Arabidopsis thaliana: one gene and its partners. The protein of the gene in region 2 interacts with the protein of the main gene of each other region in a pairwise test. Each region holds a gene or a part of one and is shown on either strand. Other genes may lie near its edges.

Region 1 (7,216 bases), on a different chromosome or scaffold from region 2:
TCGTCTTGTTGTTATCGGATCTCGATCGGGTTTTTGATTGCTTGTAGGAGCTTAGAATTTGCCGGATACTGGTTTCTCCGTCTTCATCAACGTCGTCTGTATCGCCGGAATTATGAGTGAGATTGAGAGTCTCGTGGAGAAGAAGAGATCGAGCAAGCTTTAATGGAAGCATTTCCGATTTCTGATCTCTCGTCTTCTTCGTTCGTTGTTTTTGCTTTTTATTTCCCCTTTAGGGTAGCTTTACTTGAACCAAACATAACCCATCGGTTTAAATTAAAGAACATACTCTATTTGGATCGGTTTATTCCGATTTCATTTGGTTCAATTCGATATTAGTTTGGCTTGTCCCATAACATGTTTGTTACTTCCCCGAGGTTTAAGCGCCGACTCTGTGTACACTGCAGAGCTTCGATTCTTCTCCAATGGCGGCTTCTGCTACATTAATGTCTATGGTTTGTAACTATTGCTTCTTATCTTCTTCGTTTCTATGTAATTTATCATGCTCTTTCACTATTCCGCTTATTTTCAAGGTTTTCTTAGTTCCGTCAGCATTTATCAACGTGTTTGTGATTTAGGTTTCAAATTGGGTTTGAAATCACTAATTTCTTACTTACAAAAAGTTTCTATTTCGGTGATTCAGTGTTTTCTGATGGTAGTTTTTATGGATCTGTATACTCCTCTAAGTCTCGTTGGAAAATTTGTACGATCATGTAATGTTTGAGTTGTTCATAAGTTTAATTGCTTGATTCCACAATTTTGAGCACTTGTTTATGCATTGAATCTGACTGAATGTTAACTATGAACAATTTTTGTTGACGAACAGGCACATGAAAGAAAAGTTGAGAATCTGAGAGGTTTTATGGTGAATTTGGCGAATTCAAGAGACTTTTCCCTTCCTGAGACTAAACTCTTCCAACAGAAATTCTTGGATCTGTGTTTATCCCGTACTCCTGATCATCCCACTTATTCCGCTGTATGTATGAAATTATAACATCTATTATGTGCATATACACACATACATATCTCTGCTGTGTTCTTATGACTGTATACATTTGTTTCAGATGATATTTATTGCTATCATGGATTTGAATAAAGAAGGTGGCGCAAGTGAAGATGCTATATCTGAGTTTATAAAGTCGAAATACAAGAACTTGCCATTTGCTCACACGAATTTGCTTAGTCATCATTTAGCTAAGCTTGTGGAGAAAAGAGAGATACTTTGTGACTGCAACAACGACTGTTACTCTCTCCCGGGTGAGAAGAAGACTGTTGCTTCCACTGATGTTCAGAGAAAGAGCGATCTGATAACAGTGAGAACAAATGATCAGCGTGCGGCGGATGAGGTTATGACTTGCCAAAACAAGGAAGAAAGTGTTGAAATTTTGAAGTCTGGGGATCCTAAGGTTGTTTTGTTGGAAGAACAGAGTTTGACTAAATCCCGAACCGGCTCCAAACGTAAAGCATGTTGTGTCATTAACGTCATTGAAGTAATGGACACAGAAGATAATGGATTCAAAGCAGGTTTAAGGGATTCGACTGTTCAAATTCCTAGGAAAGAGGGAGTTGTTGAAGTAGTAGATGTAGAAAATAGTGAGAATGAAGCTAGGATTGAAGCAAACAGTAGAGGAGGTGAATTATATGAAGTGGCTGTTCTATATAAGCAGAATGATGTGTTGATGGAAGAGTCGGGTAAAGAAGCAATGGAAACAAGCTCAATAGTGAGAAAAGCAAAACTGCGCAGAACATCTAACACAACGAAAGAAAATGTGGAAGTCACGAGTGAAGCATATAAAAAACTTTGGGAGTGCCAAACCGAAGCATGCAGCAATATCATTGCTCTAGAGTAAGCTCTGATCCCTTTTGTTGCCTGTTTTTCTATTCATCTTTGAATTAGCTTAATGATTTTCATGTTTCTCTTTGGGGTTGGAAAAATAGGAAAATGCTAAAACAGTGCAAAGAGAAAGACCAGCAGAACAAAGCTGTTTCAGAAATTGATGATGTTTCTCGTTTGCCTTTATCAATGGTGAGGACAAAAATCCCTGTTACGTCATGTCACTGATATGTTTTTGAGCTGATGAAAAACAGGTTCTGAATGTTTTTTTGTTGTCTCCTTTTCTTTATCCACAGGAAAGCTGCAGAGAACTGTGGAAGGCTGCCCAAAAGTTACAAAGCCAGCTCTCTGAGATCATCGATTCATGTGATGAAACCGTGGTTCCATATTCTGTATCTCCAGGATGTGAACTCGAAGGTATAAGCAAAGGATTATGCAAAGAGGATCCCAAAATGAAGACTCCTCGTGGGAATAATGGATCTGAAAAACCCTCCACACAGCTTGAACAGAAGGAAAGAGAGAAGTCTTCCAAAAAGAAACCTCAGGTCAAGAAAACGAGAATCAAAAGTCTCAGAGACATAGGAATAACAGCTGTGAGGAAATCGCCTCGATTCAGCTGATGATACTCATCAAAAAATGCTTCCGGAGAGCATGATATCTCATAAAGGTTAGGTTGTTATTTAATATCAGTATCTACATAAGTGCAACATCTTGAAGAATTTGAATATAAATTTTTAGTTTTCATATAAACTTCTCATGAAAGAACAAGAATGTGCCTGCTAATGAGACATTGATGCTAAAAGCTATTAACATTCTACAATCTTCTTTTACTACTAAGAGCCAGGGATGAGTTGAGATGAGACTCTTCTCTCTGGCACATCACAGTACTACTAGCAAACACCTTTTTTGGTCTCTTCCGTTTTTACCCCTGTGGAGCAAAACTCCAATTCAAGAATGGTTTCTGCTCAGGCGGATCCTGGAAGGAAGTGAAATAATCAGACTGATACAAGAACTGAGGGACAAAAGCGTCAGGCTGCAACAACTCCATGGAACTACCAAACATTGAAGTATCAAAAGCTTCCAAAGCATCCTCAAGCTCTCCCCATTTAGGCTCGCTCTGAACCTCCAAAACATCCGGTGACACCACGTGACCGTGACCACCTGAGCTGCTGGAATCATCCTCTTGCAATGTCGGGTAAGTCGAGTCTGATGTATCAAAAGGTGATGATGACTGTTCAGCCATTGTCGTGGTCCTCGGCTTCTCATCCGCGGGGAAATACTTCTCCATGGTTCCTTTCTTGTTGTATATTCGACATAAAACCCAATCATCAAGCTGTACAGCAAAACCCACCACAACAAAGTTAATAATCTAAATCATCATTCACGAAAAGATGATACATAAGTTAATAAGAAACAGAACTTACTCGTAGGTTGTTCTTTTTGTTAACAGAAGCTGATCTATCAACATTAGCGAGACGATACTCATGCATTATCCAATTGGTCTTAATCCCTTTTGGAGCTTTCCCTGCGTAGAAGACGAGTGCTTTCTTGATACCCAACGTCTTCGGTTTACCAATCGGTTTATCTGCTCCGGTAGCTTTCCAATAACCGGTTCCTGCTGCCCGGTTAGGACGCGAACCGTTTGGGTATTTCCGATCTCTAGGTGAGAAGAAGTACCACTCTTTCTCTCCGTACAGAGACATCTCTGAAAGAAGAACAAACATCTCAATAAACAACGATTCTCGAAGACACATGATTTCGCGAAAAATAATTAGAAGAAGCCCATAGGTGTACCTGGAAGCTCCCAAGGATTGAACTTGTAGAGATCAATCTCGGCGATAACCGGAGCCGAGATCTGCTCGGAAGCACATTTCCGGCACAAGTAGAATTTCACAAGCTCCTCGTCCGTTGGATGGAATCGGAACCCAGCTGGTAAATTTAGCTCCGACTTCATTCTCTTCTTCTTGTCTGTTGCTCTTGGAAAAATCTCTTCTTCGTTGGTTGAAAATTCAATTTCAGCTGGATCTGGATTTTTTTTGGGTTTTCTTCGTCTGCTCAAGATTGTAATCGAGGATATGTGAGTGAGGCGACGAAGGTTTTATAAGGACGAAAATCGCCGAAATGTTTTAATTAATTTAAATTGAAAAAACACAAAAAACAGAAAAGAGATGACACGAGGGGATTTTCAAGCACGTGCGGCAAAACAGACCGTTTTCTTTTCTACGCTGACCGCAGCCAGCTGGATATATACGTGGCGTAATATTATTGGATAGTCGACTTAGATGTTGTCATTGCTTGCGTCACTTAAACCTTTTGTGAATTGTTGACCGACTTTAGACCATCTCCATTGGGAAAGAGAGTGTAGAAAGTTTCTTACTTGAGAAACTTTGAGATACTTTACAACCCATCATGACAATTCTCATCTTACTATTGGTTCAATTTTTTAACAAAAATACTTTTTTAATTAAATAATTAAATTATAATATAATATTAATATTTTTTTTGTTTGAGAAATTTTGTGGATTTCTCGTAGATGGAAATGCCTTTATATGTCAAACCGTAATCTCCTGCTTCTCAGTGTAGCTTATCGCTTTTGTTCCTTTACTTACCACTAAGATTTACCACTAAGATTTAAAAAGAAAAATCTCAGCAGCCACTACTTTTTTATGATATTGAAATTGACACATTATTGTAACCTTGCTGAAGATAAGTCAGCATTTCTTGGGGCGGAAGTTGTAGTTTTGACTGGTGATTGGACAGTTTGATGAAACTACGGTGAGCATCTCCGCAGCTGATTAATTTCCTTCTTCAGGCGAAGCTTTGCGTCATGATGGATGACGTCATTTAAAGTTGCAATCGCCAATCATAGTCACTAATTATAAATACTCTCGACTAATAATACTACATTCACATAAATAAAAACATTGGAGTTCGCAAAGAAAGCGTTTGCGCTTTAGTTTGAGTTTCCCCGTTACATAAAAATATGTGTTAAGGACAACTATTTAACCACTAGCTTAATCCTTAATTAAGTACCCATTGAGCCGCTTTCATTACAGACTTAATTTATAATTCATAAGTTTGATTCACTAGCAAATAATGCCCATGAATCCTCTTCTATTTTAAAATCTTTAAATGTAAAGTTGAGGTAGGTGTGTATGCAAGCATGACGTGGGCTTGTTCCCCGTTTTATGATCATCATCACTTACGTTTTCTATCATATTATAAACTAATTATGATCGATTCAACGTAATGTTTTATAAGATCATGGTCTTTTCCTTTTACTATTAAAAGTCCCTTAGTAGCCAAATTAATTATAATACGAAATATTTGTGGTCAAACATGACTTTTTGTTGTTGTCAATAAGGATTCTTTATCGATATAAGAATGCAAGTTATATAAGTCGTATCATTTCATACACATCTTTTAGGCTTTTAGCTAAATAATTTTCGTGCACTGACGACTTCATTTTTTTCTGTCGTTTTAGATGATAACAGTCAAGTCTAGAATAAAAGATATGACCACTAATATTAAACCAAAAAAAGAAAACAAGAAAATATATAAAAGACATCGTAACGCATGATTTGTTCCTATTATAAAATTCAGATCAATTGGATCTGGACTTGATCTGAATTTTTATGATAAAGAGAGAAATCGACTTTATAGTTTTTTTGCAGTTGTTTGTTAATTTAGTCGCGGTGTGAATTGAAATAGGAAGCTTCGTGGAGCTTGATGTTATAGCTGCCGAACTTGACCCAAATTATGCAAATATAATGTTTTGGTGATGGATTATTACCTTTATGTTTTGTCGTTTCTAGAAATTTACATTGGAATATACTTGAGAATTTGGATAAGGAGGAGACAACTTGGGACCTCATTGTCGGAACTTAGAACCTATCGTTAACAACAATTAGTATCACATATACTACATACTATTCTCTATTCATATGACTACTTGTCTTATTCTTATGTGCGTGCGTATGACAAAAGTCTTACTATATAACATTCGTTTGAAACCGTGCATATATTGTAGTTAATTCTAGCATTTTAATTGGAATGTTTGAGTAGTGAATTATAAGTTTATGATAGATTTCTCCAACCTTCCGAGTTTCTAAATCGAATTTACTCAAAGCTCATACCTCTTATAATCGTGTGTAATAAACAACTTGCAAAGTTTCTTCAAAAACCAAACTACTTGCTAATTGCAAAAAAAAAAAATCAAATAAATACATCCATTTGTCACACCATTTTGTCCCTCTCTCTCAATCAATTCGTCACCGCAACTTAAAAACATCGGCCCAATTTGTCTTTCTCGACACAACAACTTAGGAAATAATGGGTCACGTTTGGGCCTTAATTTTGGGTCACTTACGGAAAACGGTTTCGGTTAGCTGGAGATCAACATCCAATCCGAATTCATTGTTAAATAACTTTTATCCTTACGGAAAACGGATCGGTTAGCTGGAGATCAACATCCTCCTAGAGACTGAATGATCTGACAATTTCCTCAGCGTGTCCATGTTCATGGAGCTCAACAAGTATTTTCTTTAACCTGCGGGCGAGACCAGTGGTTTCCGTATCGACCAGTCCCGAGGCAAACCTTTTTCTCGAGTATTCTTCCAAGTGTCAGAGTACAATCCACAAGGGGTTGCAGCAGATGACTGAAAAATCAAATAAAACATGCATGTGAGTATGCATCAAAGCAAAGTTGCAACACAAAGTGGTAATGTCCTAATCTGAGATGTGGATATCATGGGGAACCAAATGAAGATAGGTTAATGATACTTTGGACGTGCGTAGACCCGTTTTTTTTTGTTTTGTTTTAATGTAGACACACATCTTAGTTTCTCACTCTCACGTTGGCAATCGTATCAAAACAGTAGCTTAATTTTTCATGCAGACTGATTGTTATAACTGAAATGGGACATACTATGCGACATCACAAGCTCAATTTCACAGCCCTGGACTATGAGTAACCTTGATGTGTGCGAGTCAAAGCAAATTTTCTGATGTTACTGTTCAAAGAGATTAAAGTTACCTGTGGGTTCTTGTGACACTTGGTCCAGTCCATACTCCAGACAAAGAAGCAACGATCCTTTCAGTTTTTGTCACAGCATCATGGATATTTGATTCTGATGCAATGCTTCTGACATGAGGTAAAACTTTTCCAAACAAAAGGTCACTCAGAGCCAACTTCTCCAAGACCGGAAGCTCCATGACGTCTTTCCACATACAAATATTTCTCATAAGACGGACTGATGTCCCAAACCTATATGCTGCAACTTGTGGAGCATTAGGTACATCCTTTGATACCTGAGGATCCCATGTTGGAACCTGGAGAACAGAGAAAAAGATCAGAGGATATCACTAGTCCAGTAATCTCATAAC
Region 2 (6,777 bases):
ATTCAAAGAAAGGATATTTTCCTACTTCTATTAGAATGGTCTCTTTTGCTCTTTTCTACTATATATGGATGGATCCTTTAAAAGTGGAGACAAACTATATAGATTTTCTCTGCTTCAAATCTTTGACTAGATCCATTAGTAGCATGCATACAGAAGATCCTTGAAGTCTGTAGATTTGGAATTTGGGATAGCTGCTGATCATTAAGTTGGTTGAGTTCAAATTGTGGAATGAGTTTGATTTACCTAAGTCTTAGTTCAAGAAGGAGTTTTAGATCTGGCTCTAATTTTCTTGCCTTGTGAGATTCTCTTGGCTTAAACTTTTGAATTTGTAAATTTTGCAGTCACAAACGACTATGATTATTGTTTCTCTGAGAATGGTCTTGTCGCCCATAAAGATGGGAAATCCATTGGAATTCAGGTGCATATGAACCTATAGCTTTACTTACTTACATCCACATTGTTGTTTTATCGTTTCTTAATAGTTTGTATCTTTTTTCTCAGAGCCTGAAGCTGCACCTTGGAGACGATAAACTCAAGGTAAACTCATATCACTGTCCTTCATGTGTCGTAGCAGCAGTTGCTTTAGTGGTTTTATTGATGTTGAAGTGTATGCAAGTATATATGTATATAGATAGTTTCTGATAGCGTAAATTGATGATGCAGGAGTTGATAAATTTCACGCTGCACTACATTGCAGACCTGGATATTCCAATTAAGAGGTATAACGTGGATCCAACTGCTAGTCTCTAATCATGTTTGCAAAGTGATAAGATGATTTATTTTCTTGAAATTTGTATACATAGGGGAACATTTATTGAATTCCGAAATGGAATGCTCAATGTATCACCCATTGGTCGCAACTGCAGCCAAGAAGAAAGAGATGAATTTGAGAGATATGATAAGGTAGAAGAAACTATATTTAGTTTGTTCAATTTCTTATAGAATATATTTTGAGCATTGTCATTCAACACTTTTTTTAAAAGGTTCAAAACATCCGACCAAAGATGGTAGCTGAACTTCGTGAGCGGTTTGCACATCTTAACCTTACTTTCTCAATTGGGGGACAGATAAGCTTCGATGTGAGTAGAATCAAAATGTGGATTATAACAATTTCTTAAATCCATTTTTTGAGTCACTGAGTCTAATCAAATTGTTATGACTTAGGTCTTCCCTAAAGGTTGGGATAAGACTTACTGCTTGCAATACCTCGAGGACTTCAGTGAAATCCATTTCTTCGGTGACAAGACCTATGAGGTATAAGACTCATCTCAACTCTGCAAATCTATTCATTAGAGTTGTTGTATGGTTTCCGTTGAGCTTGATGGGTAAAAATATGGCTTTTACTTCTGCAGGGTGGAAATGACTATGAAATCTATGAATCACCAAAAACAATTGGCCATTCAGGTCAGCTACTTGGATATATTATCGTTTAATCTCTGTATGTTTGTGTTGCGAGATATTTTCATGACAAATAGGATTGTTTCTGTTGTTGCAGTTACGAGTCCAGATGACACAGTGGCAAAATGCAAGGCTCTGTTCATGTCTTGAAACACTACTCATCTCAAGAACACAGTGTCAAGAGTTTGATTCTTCTTTGGCGAAATCTCACAACTCTTGATTACAAGAAATGGAGAGAAGTGTGTTTGAATGCTATCTATACCGTATGTTTTGAATTTTGATTCATCAAATAAAATATCTTGTTATAACCTTTTGTTTCAGAACATGGTCCTCAAAGTTTTAAAACTAAAGGTTAAAAATATCCTCTTCAAAAAAAATTGGATGTTAAAGATTTTGTTTACAACAGATTCTCTCCAAAAAGAGCTTTAAAACTTTACAAGAATTTACAAGAAGAAACAACAACAATTTGTATTTATATATTCATTAAACAGAAACGCATATAAAAACTTCAAACTTGAGAACTGATAAGATCATTCCTCCACGACATTTTCAAGACTCAACGACCGGCTCAGGCTCCTCTTCTCCTGCAGCTTCAGGGGCAGCGTCATCTTCTTTTGCTTCGGGAATTGAGGCGGTGTCGTCAGGTTTGTGATCATCAGAAGGAGGAGAAGCGCCACCAGAAGAGGCGGATCGACGGTGGTTAGCAGCGGCTTGATGGACGTGATTGTAACTGCCTTTCTCGAGAAAGAGCTGATTGAAGTGGACTTTACAGTAGAGGACGCCATTAAGAGAAGCGTAAGAAGAGTGAGTCAAAGGACAACCACTGTGTGTGCACCTGAAGCAAGTCTTGTGGTAACTTTCTCCTTCCATTGTTACTTTCTCAAGTGGGTAAACCGTCTTCTTACAAGTCGCACATTTGTCTTGTGTTCCACTGAAGAATGATGATAACTTGCTTGGAGTTCGAGTCTTGCAGTATCCATCAATTGAGACAAATCAGATGAAAAAAAAGAGGAAATAAAAACAAGATGATGAATCTTTGAAGACATTACCAGATGATCATTGGGCTTCTCGGTCTTTCCTGCCTGAAAATTCTTGCTGTAATTGCCAGATTCTTTGAAAAGCTGTTCGAAGTGTGGCTTACAGTAAAGAACTCCATCCATTGATGAGTAATTGCTTATCTGTGTTAAGAAAAGATGTGGTCTTTTAAAACAATGAAGCATTGTCGAAAAACAGAGTAACAATGGAGGAAGAAGAAGAAAAGAGAAATACCACGAGAGTGCCTTTGCAATGGGTGCATCTGAAACATGATTTGTGATAAGTATTACCCTCTAATGTTAACAAATCCATCACGTACACGGTTTTGTCACAGGCCTTGCATTTATCCAATGTTCCTGTAAACGACATTTTCTCTCTTTCTTTCGGATGTTAGATTCAAAAAGTTTGTTCTTCGTTCGCCGGTTCTTGTCTTAGGACACGACCAAACGACGACGAGAGAAAAAACACCAGGTTTTGTGTTTTTTTCTTTTCATCTCTCAAGTTCTCTGTCTTATTTATCAAAAATTCTTGAAGAAATGAGAATTTGTGGTAATTTTGGTTCTAGTGGTAGAGATTCGAAAGAGGAGAAGCCATTCAATCATTGTCGATCATCAAAATTCTAATTTCAATTTTACAATTTTAGACTCCGAGCACAATGAAGGGTATCGACGTTTTCAGCCGTACGCTCTGTTTGCGGAAGATCCGAAGATCTATTTTTAAAAATTACGAGAGAATAATGATAAATACAAAGAAATGTGGGGGTTATTTCATAATTATACGAACGTACAAGGCTAATTTAGTGAAATAAATGTGGATAAGAGTGAGTGAAACTGAAGAAGAGCCTGTCCGTGTAATGAAAATCCACTTGACGACCTAAACAACAACAACGACTCCGGCGAGTGTATGTATCTTTCACTTTCTCACTAACCAACCAGACGACAAAAGAAAATTATTCATCTTAGCTAAGCTCGATTAGTTTCTGGCGGAAACGGTTTTGTGGATAATTGTTAGCATATTCCGATCTTGCCCTCCCCCGAGAGAGAGAGTCCAATCAATCAATCAATCAATCATCTCTTACGAAGCTACGTGTGACCTAACATTCTCCAGATTGTTGTTTATAGCCTCTTCTTAGATTTACGATTTGTGAGCTTGTGAAGATTTCTTGGTAGAATTAGAGTTCTCTGTTTCGAGATCGAGATGAATAATAATAATAATAATAGAGGAAGATTTCCACCGGGGATTGGTGCGGCGGGTCCTGGTCCGGATCCTAATTTTCAGTCACGGAATCCGAATCCACCTCAGCCTCAACAGTACCTTCAGTCACGGACTCCGTTTCCACAGCAACCTCAGCCTCAGCCTCCTCAGTATCTCCAGTCTCAATCTGATGCTCAGCAGTACGTTCAGCGAGGTTATCCCCAGCAGATTCAACAGCAACAGCAACTGCAGCAGCAACAACAACAACAACAGCAGCAGCAAGAACAACAATGGTCTCGACGGGCTCAGCTTCCTGGTGATCCAAGTTACATAGATGAGGTCGAAAAAACGGTTCAATCTGAAGCTATTAGCGATTCTAAGTAAGTGCTCGTTTGGAAGAATGGTTATTATGAATGGTGCTCTTGTTGTGATGTTTAACGGGTTATGTGTTTTCTTATGCTTATCAGTAATGAAGACTGGAAAGCAACCTTAAAGCTGCCACCACGAGATAATCGTTACCAGACAGAGGTATGAATGATTGCATAGTTATATGATTTTTGTTTTGACAAGACAGCAGTTCCCTTAGAACTTAGTTTTTCCATATCTTGTCTTCAGGATGTGACTGCCACTAAAGGAAATGAATTTGAAGATTACTTTTTGAAGAGGGATCTGCTTAGGGGAATATATGAGAAGGGTTTTGAAAAACCATCTCCTATTCAGGAAGAAAGCATTCCCATTGCTTTGACTGGTAGTGATATTCTTGCTAGAGCCAAAAATGGTACTGGGAAGACTGGTGCCTTCTGCATTCCTACCCTTGAGAAAATTGATCCAGAGAACAATGTCATTCAAGGTTTTTTACTTTCCTTTTAGAACTTTTCTCTGTTAAAAGATCTCCTACCTTTCTCTGTAGTGAGTTAGTTGATCAGTGGAACTTCCAGTGAAACCCTACTTTCTTACTGAGTTTTCAGTACTTTTGTTGATCTTTTTTCTTATGCAGCCGTAATTCTAGTTCCAACCCGAGAGCTCGCCCTTCAGACATCCCAGGTTTGCAAGGAGCTTTCCAAATATTTGAAAATTGAGGTTATGGTCACCACTGGCGGTACCAGTCTGAGGGATGATATCATGCGATTGTATCAACCTGTCCATTTACTGGTTGGAACTCCTGGAAGAATATTAGATCTTGCCAAAAAGGGTGTGTGTGTTTTGAAAGATTGTGCCATGCTTGTAATGGATGAGGTGAGTTCCTAATTCTATTACCCCTGAGCTAGATTTTTCTTATTAACAAACATTGTTGGATTTTTGCCCAAAAGGACATTTCTAGTTTTTCCCTGAACATAACTTTCTCTAAAGTTAAAACAAAATCGATTCCTCTTATGCTTCATATTTGCAGATTTTGATTGAATAATTTTCTTTTCCTCATGAGCTCATGGTCTTAACTCGCAAACATCTTTTTTCAGGCCGACAAGCTTTTGTCTGTAGAATTTCAACCTTCTATAGAGGAGTTGATACAGTTCTTGCCAGAGAGCCGGCAGATTTTGATGTTTTCAGCTACATTTCCTGTCACTGTGAAGTCTTTCAAGGATCGGTATCTCAAGAAGCCTTACATTATCAATCTCATGGATCAGCTCACACTTATGGGTGTTACCCAATATTATGCTTTTGTTGAAGAGAGACAGAAGGTGCACTGCCTTAACACGCTATTCTCTAAGGTCAGAGTTTTGTTACAGTCTTAAAACCCCAATGTTTTATTTTCTGGCTACTTGATGTATCTTTTAAAGGAAATATTGTTTTATCTATTGCAGCTCCAAATAAACCAATCCATTATCTTTTGCAACTCTGTTAATCGTGTTGAGCTGTTGGCCAAGAAAATTACAGAACTTGGTTACTCATGCTTCTATATCCATGCAAAGATGGTTCAAGACCATCGGAACAGGGTTTTCCATGATTTCCGCAATGGTGCATGCAGAAATCTTGTTTGCACTGGTACGTTTTGTGTATTTCATGTGCTTGAACATTGACAAATGTGTTTATGTTTCACGGGGAATGTCTGTCTGTTGCAGATTTGTTTACACGTGGGATTGACATTCAAGCTGTGAATGTGGTGATAAATTTCGATTTTCCTAGGACTTCTGAGTCGTATCTACATAGGGTATGTTAAGGGAAGCCGATTTTGGTTTATCTTCTTGAGAACCTGCTCTGTTTTATTTGTTCAAATTGTGAATGGGTTTTTGCTTCATTATATTACCAGGTAGGCAGATCAGGACGATTTGGACACCTTGGGTTGGCTGTGAATTTGGTAACTTATGAGGACCGCTTCAAAATGTTCGTGTTTCTTTTTCTCAACTGGTGTGGCCTCTCTTTTCATAGATGCTATAGCTTTCTTACTCAATTATTTGGTTTCCAACAGGTATCAGACAGAGCAAGAACTTGGAACTGAAATCAAGCCCATACCTTCACTTATCGACAAGGCAATCTACTGTCAGTAACTTCTACCTGGTGTACATTCTCTACCCGGCAAGGCATTGATGGACTAACCGGTGAGACAAATCCCTCTCTAGGCATCTTGACATTAGAACTAACCTGCATTGCTCATAGACCAAATTTCCATTGATTTTGGTTTGCGGTTATTTAGGTGTAGTGAGGAGGCAAATCATTCAGCTTTGGCAGCCACTAGCTCGTTCTAGAGATGAAGGCAACACATAGAGTACTGTACTGAGGCAAGAAGAGACAGTATAGGTGGTTGATGGCGATGGAAGCGGTTGATTGTGTCTAAACCTTTAAAGCAGTACCGGCTTGATTTGGTTTGAATTGAAGACTTCTTCTGCTGCATGATATGAACCTTAAAGTTGTCTTCTCTCATCTCTAATTTTCATGTTCTTAGAAACCTTTTCACCTTTTCATTTTGATGTTCTCTCATCTTGAAGACTTGAGAGGAATTTCCGAGTAGTGAGATCAAACCGAAGAAGACATTTTAACTTCATTCGCTTGTTTATTGCTTTTAGATCTCCACCTGTGCCTGAACTGTTTAAGGATTATAGTTGGTGTGTGTCAAGTCAAGTGTCTTAGCATTTTAAGAGTTACAGATCAGATGTGAAGTCGTACAACTGAAACAAAAGGCAAAACAAGATTTGATGCTTCATACAATTATAC
Region 3 (10,292 bases), on a different chromosome or scaffold from region 2:
GTTGCTTTTCCTTATTTGGTTTGGGCCTAGCCCAAGAACTGTTTACCCTCCCTCCAATCCATTTTTCAAGTCCTCGAAGCCCATGAACAGTTTTTTTAGGTTAAGCCCACATCTTGTTTGGCCCAGGTTAGGTCTTTATTTCACTCTAGCAAACCCAAACGTTTTGATTTCTTTCTCGTCTTTGGAGAGTAGCTACCTTCCGAGATTAGTTGTGATGGTCATTGTTTGGTTTTGGTTTTCTCTCCCACAAAGTTTGGCAAATAGGTTAGCTCGTTGGTTTTATGTTACAAATCTGATCTCAAAAAGCTTTGGGCTAACTCCACTTTTGAAGTGTTTTAGAGTCTTGATGCCCATGATCCGTATTGTTATGTTTCTGTCAATTACAACCCCTATAGCACCCTTTAACTTTGTTTTGGCTGGTCGTGGACTCCACGCTAACAGAGTAACAGTTCTTTTAGGCTGTTTTGATAGATACTTTTGTCGAGGTCATTTGTTAATTTTGTTTCGAACCCTATTTGAGACTATCATCCCAAACCTTTGGCAATGTCCAAAAGAGTGAAGAAGAACGCCATTATGATCCCATCTCCACGGAGCGGTGGTTACCGAAGCTTCTTCAACTCTCTACCTCCTTACCCGCCAATTACCAAGCTCCTTCAAGGTATCTTCAAGTATACGGATAAGTTGCAAATCTGTGAAAGCTTGGCAAAGAGCGGCGTTATGATCTACCCTTTATTTTCTCCCGTGGAGCACCTTTTCAAAGGCTCATATGCATTGTTTGCAATAGCCGTTTATGACCACACGTTGGTCGAGGATTTCGCGAAGCCCGTCTTCATGGTCGAATCCGCCAAAGCCTCAACAGATTTTTCAAACCTTGTAAACTTTTTTAAAAGTGAACACCTCTTTGCAAAACTCATGAAGCCTCTATCTTCATTTTCTTGTACTATCTTAGTTCTAATTTGTATGAACTTCCCTTTTTTTAGGCTTAAGTGAATGAAAATTATTGTTTGAGAAAAAAAAAAAATAAGATGAGGACCCAAAAGCTCATAGTTCGTCATCTGTAACATGCTGCATTTTTCAGGCAAAGCAATCCGACTAAAATCAAGGAGATGTGGAGGGGAGAAGCTTCCGCCTGATACCAACGGTAAGAGCTCCACATGCGGTGTAGCGATGCAGAGTAGAAAAGGGAGATCTACGGCGAAGAACGAGAGAGACAAGTAGATAGATCTGAGACCGAAAATTGTGGCGGTTCCACGAGATCTTTGTCGATGGGGGAGGTATATTTGATCCGGCAAAGCGAAGCCAACGTCGAAGGTCTCTGTTTTCTATTCCCTACTATTTTCTCTCTTTCATGACTGAGCAAGGATCTCTTCAACAAAAACGAGATCGGCTCTCTTCCTCCTTCTCAAAACAACTCTACAGTGGCGGCATGGCAACAAATTTTGGATCACCATCTCGTTTGGCTGTCCTATTTCAGCGAGAATCTGCAGTTTTGGACGGCGGCTCGATCATGTTTTTTGATTGAGATTAGGGTTTTCAATCTTGGTTAGTTAAATTCGGTTTGTAAATTTGAGATGGCTTTAGTTTTGAGCTGCTTTGTTTATTGTATTGAAGTTTGTGGATTGGGTTTTTGCGATTTTGTATATGCTCTATCTAGAAATAGCCCATTAGACATTATATATAACAAAAAAAAAACATGAAAAACACTAGAAATCATACAATCAAATCCGCATACCTGAAACTTAAAAGACTGGCACATTCGCTAATAATGAAACATGCATCAATGGTCTCTCAAGAGTCATATTATTTGCATAAGTTGATTTGTCCCTGCAAATTCCAATACAAAGCCTTGTGGACTTAATTAAGATAATAGATGTGAAAATTCAAACACATGAATCTGTTTAAAAGACAAAATAAACGTGGCATTATATCAAACATCTTGTAATTTCATATACATAAATATCAAATTGATATTTCCCTCTCTTTGAGAACTGTCCTTACGAATTCGTTTCTAAATAACATGTTTTAGATCCTAACTGTTTGTGTTCTTATGTGATGGTTTTTTAGGGACCGGTAGGTACAACGTGACTCATTCTTGTGAGAATCCAAGTTTTGAACTATGATTTAAAGTCACAATATATGGTTACCATCTCAAATTTTATGTAGAGTGCAACTTTTTCTTGAATTGGCGTGTGTTTGGTCTTCTCGAACTTGCTTCTAACGCTATTTCAAACTTGGAAAATTTTGATTTTCACTCTTTATCATCTTGTTTGTTCAATGAGATTAGCCGTTTTGTTTGTATATTGGGTGTGTCCAATTATGCTCTTTTCTTATGTTATTGTTTATGAATAACTTGTTGAACATTTTACTTATCAATTCACTCCAATATATCCTAAAATTGGGATATGCTCAAATCACATCTAGATCTCATGATTCATATTTCTATACCATTCTTTCGATTTTGATCTTGTTTCTGTCTACACCTCCTGTAAAATATATTTTTTACACAAAATGTATTTAAAACCCATTATACAAAATAATAAACTCCAGTAAAGTGAAGAATTACAAGTAGAAGAAAAAAAAAAGACATCTCGTACAAAGTCAGAATTGAGAGAGCCCTAAACACAAGGAAAAAAACAAGAACAACAAGAAAAAGTCCACTTTGTTTGGTTTTAGACAAAAACAGTAACTTACTTTTTTGGTCAAACTCTGTAGAAAGAATCAATCTCCCTTGTAAATCTCACCCTCCTGTCACCATCTTCCCTCCGTCACTTTCCCAATTTAATTTATAATCAGAAACCCTACATATACACCTAGGTTTAGGGTTTCGCTTTTTCAGAGAAAAATAGTTTCTTTTTCTTCAAGTTAAAAAAAAAAAATTATTAATCTGGTACGCTACAGTGCACCGAAATCCCATAGATGTATAATACTCTGAGCCGTTGATGAAGCTGACGCAACCGCCACATGTCTATCATCGGCAACAATGGCGTCAACTTCTCCTACTCTCTCCCTAATACTGTACAGATACTCTCCTCTCTCTACCTCCCACACGCGCATTATACCACCTGCGCACATTAGCGCGTGCAGTCTATTAACACAACCCATTACTCTTCTCTGCGCCGCTCCACTAACACGGAACTCACACACCGTTTGTTGCGTGTTCACCCTTCGCACGCTAGCGTTTCCTCTACTGTCCAATCTAACGTACGCTTCGTCGTTGGCATCGAAGCCTGTCACTATTAGTCCTCTACGTTGCTCTTCGTCTTCTCCGATGATCACTCCTTGGTTTCTTAGATCGATCACCATGATTCTCCATCTCGTGCATGCTACCGCCGTCTCGTTACCGGAGATTCTGAGACGGCCAAGGGACGTTGTTAGCTCTGTTAACGTGTGCCATCCCATGACAGCTTCAGGGTCGGTGAGTGTACCACCGACGAATGTTGTCTCTTCGCTGTTACAGTCCCATATGTGAAAGGCACGACCTGGCACACCCGCGAAAAGACCGACCCACCAACGTCCACAGCCAGTGAAATCTACCAACGCACCGTCGTTAACTATATCTCCTGCGTAAGCCGTGCGTGTGTGACCAACACCGTCTATTTCCGCCACGTGGATGTCTCCGTCCATCGTAGCGAACGTGAGCCTTGAGTCGGAGATAACAATGCCTGAGACGGCTCGTGAGAATCTACCAAAGCGGTCACGTAGAGGTGGCCGTAAGGTCCTGACGTGGAGTCGGTTGTTTAAAAGAAAAAGCCGGACGGTTCCGTCGGCGAACCCTGCGGCTAAGTAGAGGTCTGAGAGGGTGAGACAACGGCAAGAGAGACTATCAGGCTCGTCCACATCAGACGGGTCAAATTGGAGAGTGAAGTAGGTGTGAGTACGCGTCCGGAAGTTTCTAGCCGTCCGATGACGGTAGATGAACTCGTCCCGCCACGTGTCGTGCATCAAATGTGTTCTTGCCCAAACTTGGCGAGATAGTAGTTGCCATAGATGGTCGGAGCGAGAGACAGCGTGCCACGTGGTGCAAACCTGCGATTAAGAAAAATTATTATAAGTTTTAACAAATATTATAATTAGTAGCTTAATTAATAAATGTATAAATAAGGGAGAGAGTAAAAAAAGACATAGAAAGAAGATAAGTAGGCCTGCAACGAAGCATGAAAGACTCTATATATAGGGACTAGGAAGATGGAAAGACAACGACAGACTCAGACACAAGCTCTGCGTAATATTTGTCTTACTCATCGAAACACACAACTCATTTTTATAAAAATCTATTTTATGACATATGTTCAATTGACGGGACTAATCAATCTCTGGAAGCTATAGATAGAGATATAACAACAGAAGCCCTAGTGTAAAAGGAATAATGAGAGGAAGCCCTAGTCCCATGTCAAAAGAACAAAAAACAAATCAATGTGACAATAATACAAAACAGATGATATGTTAATTTATTAGGACAGATGAGAAGACTTTAAATGAGTTAAGCTGAACATGAGATTCCGACTTTGCCAACAAGCGTGCCCTTCTCTCTTTCATTTCCAAGAAAGGATAGCTTTTAAGCCTTTGGTCTTGTTAAAAGTAGAGCTTCCCATAAATACACAAATATTACACTTATATATAGTAGATGTTTCTCTGTCTCTCTCATCCCTCTCCAACAATCCGTGGACCTACATTCTCTACATTTACGTTTATATTGTTATTTATTGTACATCTTTATTCCTCATTAAACGCAAAGTAATGTATTTGACTTCGTACTCTAGCTCTATAGTACAACCTAAAATCAAATATTTCGAATTCTATACGAAAAGAAAAGATATCTTGTCAAACCAAAGGTTTAATGTCTATTAGTCAGATAATCATTATAAAAAAAGAATAATCTAGGCACTAGGGCACGAAATGTAACATAAAATAGATTAGTACAACAAATAACATATGATGGAATGGCAAATCCTATTTATTATTATGCAAATTACCAATCACATCAATATGATATACTTCAAATAAGAAGGGAAAGAAAGTAGTTCAAATATTCCTGAGTTCTAAGATGACCAGATTCAGAATATCACTTTTGTATTTTAATGTGTGATATATCAAATGTAAGAACATAGTATATAATCTATAGACACCACTGCACGTGCTCTAAGAGACCCTTAACATTGGGTTCCATGTGCTTTTCGGCATATGTATGCCCATAATGTCGTCTCTTTTGACTGAAAAAAATTAAGGAAAGAAAAAAAAAAGATAAAAACCCACTTCAATGGAAAAGATGAATCGAGTCAGGAAAAAAGATAATTCCATGATCAATTTCAAAGTAAAAAACAACAATGAAAACTCTAGACTTATAGCCTTAATTCTCTGACAAAAGTGTTATGCTGTAACTACACTGCAGTTTCTTAAAATTTTAGGGCAAATTTGAAAATTCAATTAATTAGAAAATATTATGGGATTTAATAATGATTTAGAATTATCATGTATACATAGAGAAGTGAGATAAAATAAGAGAATGAGAAGTTGTCAGAAGCTCTGCATGCATTACTCAGTGGATCATAATATTGGCAGAGAAAAAAATAACAAAAGCAGGACGCAAAAAATGTACATATGTACTTATATACTATTCCTCGTTACTATATATGAGAAAAATCTTCAGCATAATATATATATGTATTATTTGTTTTTTTATGAACAAAAGAAAAAACAGCTATTTTCATATATAACATAGGATTATTAAAAAGAATAATATGAATGCCTGATATAATACATGGATCATATATCTGTTGATGAATAGAGTTTTCATGTATGTAGAAAATAACCTAATGTGGTAATATAGGACTAACATTGGCAAGGCAAAAAGACAGGACCTTACTTAGGTTTCTTTTCATTCTCTTTTTAGATGTTGTTAAATGTGCAACGACATTTTCTAGTTTTATGAGTCTGTCGTGAGAGGTCACTTTCTATTATTATAATTTTAAAACAATTAGCAGATAAATACCGTTATAATTATAATTCTAAAAAATATTAAATCTATTGGGCATTGGACTAAAGACTGTGCCTAATGTCTATCAACCAATATTTGGAGACAAGAAAGTGTTTAATTTGATTATTATTGTAAGAACTTTTGAGTCAAAAAGTGGATTTCTTGATCTTAAAAAAGGGCTTTCTACATGCCAAGAAAGGAAGATTTAAAGCCAATAAAATAAAATAAAACCTTGATTTTGTGCCCTAAGGGATCCAATTCATAATATAATATTAATATTAGAGTTACTATGCCCAAATGTTGTACAAAGATTACACAAACGAGATGGGGTTGTATGGTCTCCTTAGAGGATCCAAAAATAGACATTAAAAGGTATCAAAAGTAGACGAGAGAACAATGAAAAAGAAATAAACTTATTGGGTAAAAATGGAAGACAAAAAGTTTCTAAATACATAAAAGAAAAACAAAGTCCCCAAACTATATGATATGTGAAAGAGACATCAAATTAATGTCGTCTTGTTAGACATAAAAGTTGGACTTGGACCCATCATAGAAACACAGAAAGGGCGGTTACCTTTCCAAAGGTCAGTTTTTTTTTTTTTTTGTCTCTTCAGAATCCCAACCTTACAAACTAATATCACATTCAATCGAATTGAAGTAACATCATCACTTAATTATGATCTAAAGAGTAAGAATTCGTTATACCAAAAAGAATTAGAACGGCAGAATCAAATCTAAGCTTAGAAACAACTAAAGTACAAGACACTTGAAACAAGCAGTACATTTGACTAGACCAAGATTGTGTCCCTCCACTTAAGTTATTATAGACCCACGACTACTTTGACTTTGTTTTGTCTGCATAAGATCTATGTCTCACTATTTTCAAGTTCAAATATAAGCTAATAAACGAATTCAGATAGTGTAACGAAAATATTACTTTACTACCTGAAGTACATATATATATAGAGAGACACGAGATAATTGATGTGTCTCGACCGTTACAAAACTAAAAGAAGGTATTCAAAGAACGTTAGAACTGACCCGAAAAACGTTGGCAAGAGCCGGAGCTGCGGCGAGGAGGCCGGCGGATGTGGAAGCGTTAACGGCAACTTGAACGGCGAGAGATTCAAGAAAAGGCTCCGGCCAAACATCGTTGGCTCCGCGGCGAGGGCGGGATGGAGATGGGGCCTCGAAAACGCCGCCGCTTCCACCGGCTCCGTTGTCGGAAGAAGAGGAGGAGGTAGACATGAGACGAGAGGGGTTATAAGAGGAACAGGGGAAGAAGAAGAAGCGGAGAGAGGAGAAAGAATGGTGGGGGAGAGAGGAAACAAAGGACAAAAAGTGTAGATAAAGACATACTTCTCCGAGGTGGGGGACCCAGGTTGTGAAGGTATGTTTTTTTCCTATTTTTATTTTCTTTTGTCAAGATTTGTTATTATTTGTTTTTGTTTATTCTTAATAGATGCAGATTTGTTTGTGAAATAGCTTCAATTTTATATTTTTTAGGAAAAGTATTGGTTCAGTATGGTGACATATTTCAAAATTTCTTTCTTTTGATATGCAGATTTTGAATTATAATGGCAATATAACAGCTATATTATTATAAATCACTAGATTTATATTTTGACGATTTTTTATATTTAAAATAGTGTTATATATCATTAAGAATTCAACAATATATTTGCTAAGTTTATTTCCTTCCGCGAACATTAGTAAATTTTTTGTATATGGTAAACTATTGGCTAAACACAAATATTTGTAGATCGATCCATTTTAAAAATGAGAAATAAAATAATATGTATACGCAAAAAATTTGTCAGAGAGATCAAACTCGTAGCACCAAATCTCGACTTTCATACCAGTAGTAAAAACTTTTAAAGCATAGTTTAACATATTTTTTTTTCCCAACATACTATTGTCATTATAAGTAAATAATTTTTGGAAATCTGGTTAAGCATATTCTTATCATTACAATCCTCAAACCTAGAATTCGCCATATTCTGTCATCACAAAACTTAACCCTACTTTTTCTCATATTGCAGCTATCACGATCCTCAAAACCACGGTTCATCGTGAACTTTAGTCCAAACTCATCACAAACCAACACATGAGCATGCGATGCTTTTAAGTTTATTCCTCAATCTAAATATAGAAATATTTACATTTTCTGAAAATTATTCATATATATAGTGCTTTTATATAATTACAATTAACATTTTTGATTAGTATTTTTTAGTTAAAACATTTTTATTCTTTTTTAATTAAAAATAATTAACGAAATAATGATGAATCACGTTATTAAGAGAGAAAAAAAAATAAAGCCACATTATTAACGTCACTAAGAGGAACATTTTGGTTTTCCTCCCAGACATTGTTCATCTTGGGAAAAAAAAATGTCTTCTCTTTTACTAGGTGTTTATCCGAAAACGAAGAAAACCTATTTCTCGTGGCTATTCTCTCTTTCTCTCGTCTCTTCCGCCCGAAACTTTTAACGTCGTTGTCATCGAGTCACATTTCGTCTCAACTCAACTTGTTTCGATATGTGTCAAATCTTTATTTCGATTTTTCCGACAATAATCAGACATCTAAGTTCAATAGCAAGTGATTCCCATGATTAAAACCATTTTCTAAAACCACTGTTATGATATTGATGGTTTTTATCGACGCTTATTACGGCTGATTTTTGCCGTCGATTTACATATGGTGGCTGATTTGTTATTTCTATTCGATTTGATGGCTGAGTTATTGTATGCTTTAGGACTGATTTATGATTTATTAATGCATATGTGGTTGAGTTTGTTTTGTGTTGTGGCTTGGTTACTGTATGTTTTATGACTGATTTATGATTTATCAATGCATATGTGGCTAGGTTTGTTTTATGTTGTGGATGAGTTATTGTATGTTTGACTGAGTTATGATTTATCAATGCATCTGTGGCTAAATTTGTTTTATGTTGTGGCTGAGTTAATGTATGGTTATGGCTGATTTATGGTTTATTAGATGGCTAAGGTTATTTCTGAAGAACAAGCAAAGGATTACCCTCTAAGAATTTACGCAGAAGGAGAGTCTAATCTAGAGAATAAACTCATTAATCACAATATCAAGATGACATATTTCTATGGGATTTAGAGAATTAGTATGATAAGATGTGTGGGATCAAATGAAGGAGGCACCTATTGGAATAATTACTAAGTTATCGAATAGTCAATTCGTGTGGTCTCGTAAGACTGTACATTTTCTATTAAGTAGACAGTTAATAATACTTTTGAAGGAGATTTGGTGTCTCGTTGGTTAATGCTATAAAGATGTTGAGGCCTATTGGAAAGTCGTACACCATCAGTGGTATGGTTTTCATGTTACAGGCTTGGGCATATGATTCAGTCAAATGCTTTGGAGAGCGATATAGGAACGTAGTCAATAAGGATGAAATATCGTTGCTTAGATGGGGTGGAAACCGTACACGTACAACAATGGAATTTGATGTAGGTCAAATTGCTCTAAGTTTACTCCCTCAAATAAGAGATCGTCGTTAGTACTTAAGGGTAAAATTCCACAAAACTCTTTTGTTCACACAATAGGCTAAAGTATCAAAATCAAGCTAGATAGATGATAAGAAAATAAAAAGAAAGCAAGTAAGTAGATAGTGGATTGTGAAGTTGTAAGACAAGATAATAAAAACGTTAGGTTTAGGGTATTCTCAGGAAATAGATGATAAGAGATATAGAAATAGCTAGGATGTTATCGAATCGTTCTTAAACTCAAACCCTAATTACAGAATAAGCGGTGGTTCGCCGTGCTACTCAATATGCCTAGGGCTAAAGATTCCCAGCGGTCGCTTGGCAAATCCCTATATTAAGACATGCATGATAAACGAGTTTGATAAGTTCACCTAAATAGATAGGCCGATTCTTATTTCACATCTATAAACTTGGCTCATCAAATAGTATTTCTGGTAACATATACCTTTTTGGGCATACCTATTATTTAAGATTAAGTTCTAATTAGTTACTCTAGAACTAGCATTAAGAATAACCAAAGATGAAAAATCCTACATATATCCTAGCAGGTGAACAATCTACTAAATCATCTAAATCCCTAATGAGAAACCCTAACCCTAACAAGTAGACTACTCATACATGATGGATGAAACAAACAACATTTATGAATGAGAAAGCATAAACAAAATCAATAAGAAGAAAGAGTTAGAAAATATCTCTTCGGTATTATTGAAATCTCTGATAAAACTCAGAAAAATGAATCCAATGTATAAATAGCTTATAAAATGCTTTAGAACAAGTTAGGTGGCTAAAAACTTGTT
Region 4 (6,971 bases), about 12 Mb from region 2:
TATAATAATTTATTTAATATGATAATATTCATTTATTACATAATAATTGAATTTATGAAAAAAGATTATCAGTTATGTGATGTATAACCGAAAACATGGTCATATATGCCAAATAAACTAAAGGATATTCAGCTTCTCGACGTATATAGATTGTATGACCACATAAATGAAGTATATAGCGTCATGTAGATAATATTATAAACCGAGAATCTCAAGTTCACCAGTCAACTAGTTCTAGTTAACCGACATTGACCAGCGAAAATATTCAGAAATAATTTTTAGTTTATTTTTAATATTAAAAAATAGATAATTTTATTTGGTATTATATAATCAAAAACACATTCTATATCTAATATAAATATATTTTGTATATATATATATTTAATGCATGAATCTGATAATAGTTAGTTTTTTTCAATTTCAAATCTAAATTAAGAGTAATTTTTTTAAGATATGAACTATTCATAATATTAATTGTTAGTGTTTTTAGAATTTAATTATTTAATTGATAAATTTTTTTAATTAATAGGTAATTGGTTTTATATTATCAATTAAAAATATTAACTTCTTATTTGATTAAATATTTTATAAAATTTCAATTTTGAATTTAAAAAATTACTATGCAAAATTTAGACTAAAAAGTTATTTAATCAAATTTTTTGCATATTATTGTTTTAATGAAACTCTTTTTCAAAAAATAAAAAGAAACTCTTATAGTCATATGTATTGGGTTTGATTCTAATGATTTATCTCCTAATGAAATAAGAATTTAATATTCTTTTAATTGATAACAAAAATGATTCCTTTATTCAATTTTTTTTTTACATTCTTAGTTTAGTTTTGAAATTGAAAAACTAACTAGTATAAGAATCAATGCATTACTTATGAATGCAAAAATATTTATATTAGATATATATTGTGTTCAGTTATTATGCAATACCAAAAAAACTAAAGTTTTTTAATAATAATAAAAAATAATTTTGAATATTTTGTTGGTCAACGCTGGAGTTAGTCGACCGGTTAATCTGAAATGCTATATTTATGATGTTGACCACATAACGCTATATACTTTCTATATGTGGCCATGCAATCTATATACATCAAGAAGCTGAATATTCTTTAATTTACTTGACATGTGTAGTCATGTGTTGCGTTATACTTCAAGTATCTAACAATCTTTTTTCTTTAATTTTTTTTGATAAATTAAATTTATTATATTACTATACTAGTTAACATATTAATCAAATAGTTATCTGCCACACAAATATTATACCTTATATAACTCGTTATTTTGTTCTTCATATGATATGATAAATGAGTTAACTCGATAAATATAAATTTAGCACATAAATTATAAACTTATTGATATATACTTTGTTATCATGATAACCCGATAGATAATCATCTAACTCACAATATGTTTTTACTCTTGTATTTAATAACCAATATATCCAGAATCAGATTAAAACGTCGATATCTATTTGTTTCTATTGCTAAACAATTTGTGATTTGTGAAAGTATGTATTTTTCCAACTTATACAAATTGTTGAGAGAGAACTAATTATACAAAAAATAGATATGTTCTTATGTTTAAGTTTTTTGGGTATTAAGATTATTATAACCCATTTTTTGGAGACATTATGTCTAATAGCACATACAAGTAAAGTAATGACTCCAAAAGCTTAGTCAAGATGTTGGTAACTATAATAGCACATATATATGTTTTGAAAAAGATCTTATAGCCATAAAAATTTGTATATTCACTATTATTGCCATTTTGAATTAAAAATGAAAGAAAAAACAGAAAATATTAAATTAAAGAAAACCTATTTTTTTTTTTTTTTTTTCGTTTGGTTAGCGACAACAGTTGAGGGCAAAAAAAACCTCCGACTATAATTTTTCTGAGGAAAACATAGTTTCTGACGAGGCTAACAATTTCAGTGATGTTTATCGAATAGCATTTCATCTACTTCCACGGTTGAGGAGTTTGATCAGGCAAGGTCTCGGATTTTAGAAGATTAGTTGTCGTAATTTTCTAGGTATTTTCAATAAGAATATCGGTTTTATCTTTTACTATGTGATATTGATAGTTGGTTTGATGGTCGAGATGTTCAGGCCGGCCGCTGCTATATCTTTGGATATTCTATTGTTCACTAGGGTTTACATAGGTTCAATCATTTAGTTTTCTTGATCATTCAAGATTGATGTTATCTAGTTTTGATCTGTTGCTTCTCGTCTCTATATTTTATATATGATCGAAATCTGCTTCTATGGTGTATTGGTGTGGTTCTATGGTTTAGCTTGGAACTCTAAGTAGTTTTTCTTGCCAGGTTATGAAGCATAGTTTAAAAAGTTGTACTACGCTTATAAAGTTTGGCTTCTTAAGAGAAGGATTTGTATGATTGTTGGCCAAAGACATCTTCGATACATTCTATCAATTTTTTAAAAAAATTCTGATTTCTTTAGTTAGTTTGATATGTCTCCATTTTATCGATTTTATTTTAAATTTTTTGAAGTTTTCACTTCTAATTTTATATTTTCAGTTCTTTTTGACCGTCAATTATTTTTTTTATCATAAAGTTTTAGATTCTAAAAATATTTATATTTTTAACCCGCATAAATTTTGTATTTAACCAAAAATTTCCCTAAGGTTTTCTTTTAACAATTTGTCCATTAGAAAAAATAAAAGACAATAAATAGTGTTTCTCCTCGATGAAGACAAAACTCCAATACTAAGAATAAAAAAAATAAAAACCAAAAAGCAAAAGGGATAACACAAAACCCCTTTCACCTTCCCAATTCCACCACCACACAGACAAAGCACACCGAAAATGGCGGTTTCTTCTGGAACATTCTCCACTTTCCTCTGCATCAAAACGACATCTTTCCGCAACCCATCAACTCCTCTGTCCTCTCTCCGGTTCGCCTCTCACCCGGCGGCTAAACTACGCTTGGTTCGAGCGGTAACATCTGCGACGGAATCTTCAGAGCCAACCGCAACCAATAAGAGAGTGCCACGCGGTATCATGAAACCTAGACCAGTTTCACCAGAGATGCAAGACATCGTCGAACTTCCTGAAATCGCTCGCACACAAGCTCTTAAGCGTATTTGGGCTTACATCAAAGAACATGACCTTCAGGTAACTTAACAACCAAGAATCTCTCTCAGAAACACTCTGGTTTTGGTTTCTCTTATGGTTTTGTTTCGCTTTCTTCAATCCGGTGGTTTGATATTTTAGGGTTTCTGTAGGAAAATTGAACGGTCTGGATTCAAGAAGACAGAAATTGAATTAGGTTGTCTTCTTGTTAGTTATGTAACTTGTAAGTTTTCTTTAGATTAGGAAGCTGAAAATATTTTGGTGACTAATTGCTTCATATGATTTTGGGGGTAGTTGTTTATAACGTTTTGTATAAGCAAATTTGATTCTTTGATTGCGTCTCGTTTACTTGCTTGGCTATGTGTATCCTTAGAGATAACTAATAATCTTCTCTGGGCTATGTTCTTGAACCTTGTTGCCTAGTTTGACCAAAATCCTAATATGTTCTGTCATTGGCTTTGTATCTCTGATGTTTTGATCTCTGCTTCTTGGTATTGTTGCTGTTTGGTTCAGGTTCTCTAAGTATGAAATGGAACTTTTTTCAGCTCTTGAAATTCTAGTTCTATAGTGTTTAAATGTGGATGCTGTTTCTCTGCAAGATTTATAGTCTATAGCAACCAAGTAGCCAAAACTTTACTCTAGTAGAAAGCTCTGTATTATTCTCATTGACATGTCTTGAGGTTTCAAAGTTTAAAGAACCAATTTAGCTACGGTACTTCAAGATGTTTTACTTGCATCAAAGTTTTACTAAATGACTAATTTTGTTCTTTAGGACCCACAAAACAAGAGAGAAATACTGTGTGATGAGAAGCTGAAGAAGATATTCGAAGGAAGAGATCGGGTTGGGTTCCTAGAGATTGCAAAGCTCATCGGTCCTCACTTCCTCTGATGGATTGTTTCCGCGGAACTTTATTTGGATGATTGTCTATGTTTTGTTGTTGACCTGTTATGGCCATGAAAAGAGAAGGGTATTTGAAGTTGAGGAAGACTTAGATTAGTAAATTAGGTTTTTTTTTGGTTGCTTCAATTCAATGGATGTTATGTAGTCGTTGCTTCCTAATGTTGTTTGCGTTTTCGTTTCGATTTCAGATTCTATTTTTCTTGTTTGACTAACGGTAAACGGCTTTTGACAACATGTTTTTCCGTTTATTTAGTTTTCGAAATTCACACATGTTAGTTACGTTTTATAATCATGTACATACTCCGTTGAGAAGAGATTGAGGTAAGGTTTGGAAGACATATCTACTAGGCTCAGGGATTTGTGGTATGATACTAATGACGTATATACTTAGAAACGGTTGACAAAAGAGCGAGAAAATTTACATTTTTCACTTCACTCGCTATATTACGAACTCATATTACCTCTGGATAGATTGAATCTCGTTTTGTCTAGAAAATTAACCATTTTACCATTTACAAATATCAAATAATTTAGTATTAATTTGGGTTTAGCCTATAGATATGTGAAACTAGGAATCAAAATATCTAAATATGGGTTTTAGGTTCGGCCCATTGAAACTTGTCTGTCTCTCCTTCTCATCTGTAAAGTAGAAGGCTTTTTTTGTTTTTAGTCGGCCAAATTCCATTAAAACGGAAGCCCAATGGGCAGTACAAAGAAGTGAAAATTACATAAGCCCATTCTCCAACATATACATCCTTGATTAGGTTAACAACTGCTTAATCTTAAACTAAATAAAGTAAAAGATTAAGAAAATAAGGAGCCACCACGTGTAACACCACGTGTAACACCACGTGTTAACACATAAGAAGGAGAAGGAGAAGCAGTCGGCGCCGGGCAAATCTGCGAGTTGACTCAGCACCTCCGTTGGCTTCAAGCAACCACCACCGTACTCCTTCTACAGTTTTCGTCTTGCAGATCTGATGAACAATCACCGGTTCCGTCTGAAAGAAGCTCAAAGAAGACTTGAAGAAATCTTTATCCCTTAACCCAATCTCCTAAATTGGAAGCTCCGCCTGAGACCAAAAGAAAGTCCTCGACTACAACAGAGTCATATGAAGCGGCGAAGATGTTACTCCGATCAAAGAGAGGAGGCAAGCCGACGGTAGGAGGAAGAGATCCAGAGATCGCAAGAGGATAATGGATTGAAAGCCTTGTAGAAAGAGGAAACAAAAAAAACTTGATCCAATCTTAAGTAACCAAATTGGATCTTATTAGATCCGGATTAACCGGAGATTGGTCCGACGAAGCGGAAAAACAACAATCTGACTGCAGTCGGAAAACTTCTATATTACAGAACAAAAGCGGCGGCGATAATTCCGGTGAACCGGAAATCTCCCTCTCTCTCTAAAGGATAGAGGTGTGTTAAGAGAGAGAAGCCCTTGGTCTGGTAAAAAGTGTGTTTTTCAACGTGAACTAACGACAAATACCGATTTATACGTAAACAAGTAATTTAAAAGAAAACTACATGAACTATTAATATAGTGTTTAACTACAAGTCAATGTTAAAAGATGTCAGTCAACGCTAGTGATTGTTGACTCAGTTGATACATATATATTGAAGTAGCATATTCTTCAACTAAAATGACATCGGTTTGCTATTTTGAAATCAATTTCTTTATTTTTTAAATGTAAAAATGGTATTCGAACTGGAAACCCGTTGTAAAACTATAAAGATGTTGTGTTTTCGGATTTAAATTCGTATAACCTTTAAGATGGATATGTTGTGTCTTCGGATTTAATTGTTGTGTCCTTGGATTTCAACTAATGTCTTAATGTTATATTGTGTCTTCTTTCTCTCGATCACAGTCTCTGTTTTTCAATTTCTTGTTTGTGTTTCGAATGAAAAAAATTGAAGAAGAAGAAGAAAACAAAATTCCTAGGTTTATTGATTTTCTCCTATGTTTTATTAATATATAAAAAATATGAGAGTTGCAGTTTTATTGGAAATATGGTTGTTGTTCAATGGTAACGAACAAAAGCAACGGGTCTCTGGTTCGAATATATATTTTCACAATTTTTTTTAAAATAAATTCAAAATAGCAAAACAAGGTCGTTTTAGTTGAAGAATATGCCTCGTTGATACTCACGGGTCAGCTGAGTCATCAGTAGTTAGCGTTGACTAACAGATGTTTCAAGTCAAACTTCTTGCTCATCTTCGCATGTTGGTAATAGTGCACGATAAGGTACCGGTTCGCTATGTTGAAGCCAGAGATGGTCGACAGCTTTCTTAGCATCGTAGATATCCTCGTATACGACGAAAGCCGTACCTTTTGTGCCCTTTTCACAACCGATTCGAACCTGACGAATCGTACTGTACCTTCCGAAAAGATCGTACGTATCTTCGCTTGTTATGCTAAAGGGAAGGTTACAAATGTAGAGTAGGCGAGTCACCTCCGGTGGGAGCCTGGGGTTTTGTTTATCCTTTCCCGTGCGAGGAGGCATTGTGGTACCTTCTCTTCTTCCTTTAGCCGGAGAGAAAAAAAACTTCTCATGGAAAAAAGAAAATTTTAGTGTGATTTCGATAGACGCACGTGAGAATTTTTTTATAGGGAAAAAAAGGAAAAAGATATTAAACCGTCATTAATTGATCATAGGCAAAGGAGAAATTATTGACGGTGTTGTGTAAATCATTAAACCCAACTACCCAAAGGAACCTACCGAACCTATAATTTGTAACTAGTTTGATGGCACTGCTAATTGAGGAATGGACATTTTAACCAAACCGAACCGAACCAAACAGAACCGACCCAAACCAAATCCAATCTTAGACTCAAACTATTCAGTTATGTTTCTTCTCACTCAACTGAAATGGTTCGGTTTGGTTTGTTTTAAACCAAACCGAACCAATAACCTTATATGTTTATTTAATTAATTAATTAGTAATATTGTATATTAGTACATATGTAATTATT

The links.
Region 1: the proteins of PLIM2a (region 2) and ATAF2 interact in a two-hybrid assay, tested with the Arabidopsis thaliana proteins (one large-scale study listed by BioGRID).
Region 3: the proteins of PLIM2a (region 2) and SAP interact in a two-hybrid assay, tested with the Arabidopsis thaliana proteins (one large-scale study listed by BioGRID).
Region 4: the proteins of PLIM2a (region 2) and AT2G14880 interact in a two-hybrid assay, tested with the Arabidopsis thaliana proteins (one large-scale study listed by BioGRID).

Annotation. Positions count from the first base shown.
Region 1 is NC_003076.8:2,856,360-2,863,575, forward strand, and holds ATAF2 (NAC (No Apical Meristem) domain transcriptional regulator superfamily protein), read right to left. Parts: upstream 4,200-7,216; 5' UTR 3,786-4,199; coding exon 3,626-3,785; intron 3,537-3,625; coding exon 3,256-3,536; intron 3,165-3,255; coding exon 2,754-3,164; 3' UTR 2,490-2,753; downstream 1-2,489. Other genes in the region: AT5G08770 (topoisomerase I damage affected-like protein), read right to left, coding at 1-172; AT5G08780 (winged-helix DNA-binding transcription factor family protein), read left to right, coding at 423-452, 824-973, 1,062-1,843, 1,936-2,023, 2,128-2,451; AT5G09210 (GC-rich sequence DNA-binding factor-like protein), read right to left, coding at 6,360-6,489, 6,867-7,162.
Region 2 is NC_003071.7:18,856,206-18,862,982, forward strand, and holds PLIM2a (GATA type zinc finger transcription factor family protein), read right to left. Parts: upstream 3,074-6,777; 5' UTR 2,803-3,073; coding exon 2,668-2,802; exon of another isoform or gene 2,619-2,667; coding exon of another isoform or gene 2,577-2,618; coding exon 2,448-2,576; exon of another isoform or gene 2,365-2,447; coding exon 1,948-2,364; 3' UTR 1,736-1,947; downstream 1-1,735. Other genes in the region: PMM (phosphomannomutase), read left to right, coding at 342-418, 502-537, 664-719, 804-903, 984-1,079, 1,165-1,254, 1,353-1,404, 1,496-1,548; AT2G45810 (DEA(D/H)-box RNA helicase family protein), read left to right, coding at 3,631-4,007, 4,095-4,155, 4,243-4,477, 4,625-4,863, 5,085-5,336, 5,430-5,610, 5,688-5,776, 5,876-5,949 and 1 more. UniProt on the Arabidopsis thaliana protein: Binds to actin filaments and promotes cross-linking into thick bundles. Has an actin-stabilizing activity. The actin regulatory activities are inhibited by pH > 6.8 but are [Ca(2+)] independent.
Region 3 is NC_003076.8:13,933,565-13,943,856, forward strand, and holds SAP (Transducin/WD40 repeat-like superfamily protein), read right to left. Parts: upstream 7,304-10,292; 5' UTR 7,223-7,303; coding exon 7,016-7,222; intron 4,027-7,015; coding exon 2,893-4,026; 3' UTR 2,522-2,892; downstream 1-2,521. Other genes in the region: AT5G35760 (Beta-galactosidase related protein), read left to right, coding at 544-937, 1,079-1,218. UniProt on the Arabidopsis thaliana protein: Transcriptional regulator involved in the specification of floral identity. Acts as A class cadastral protein by repressing the C class floral homeotic gene AGAMOUS in the external flower organs in association with APETALA2 and other repressors.
Region 4 is NC_003071.7:6,390,702-6,397,672, reverse strand, and holds AT2G14880 (SWIB/MDM2 domain superfamily protein), read left to right. Parts: upstream 1-2,672; 5' UTR 2,673-2,831; coding exon 2,832-3,140; coding exon of another isoform or gene 3,141-3,149; exon of another isoform or gene 3,150-3,321; intron 3,322-3,870; coding exon 3,871-3,987; 3' UTR 3,988-4,363; downstream 4,364-6,971. Other genes in the region: AT2G14870 (RNA-binding (RRM/RBD/RNP motifs) family protein), read right to left, coding at 6,196-6,501.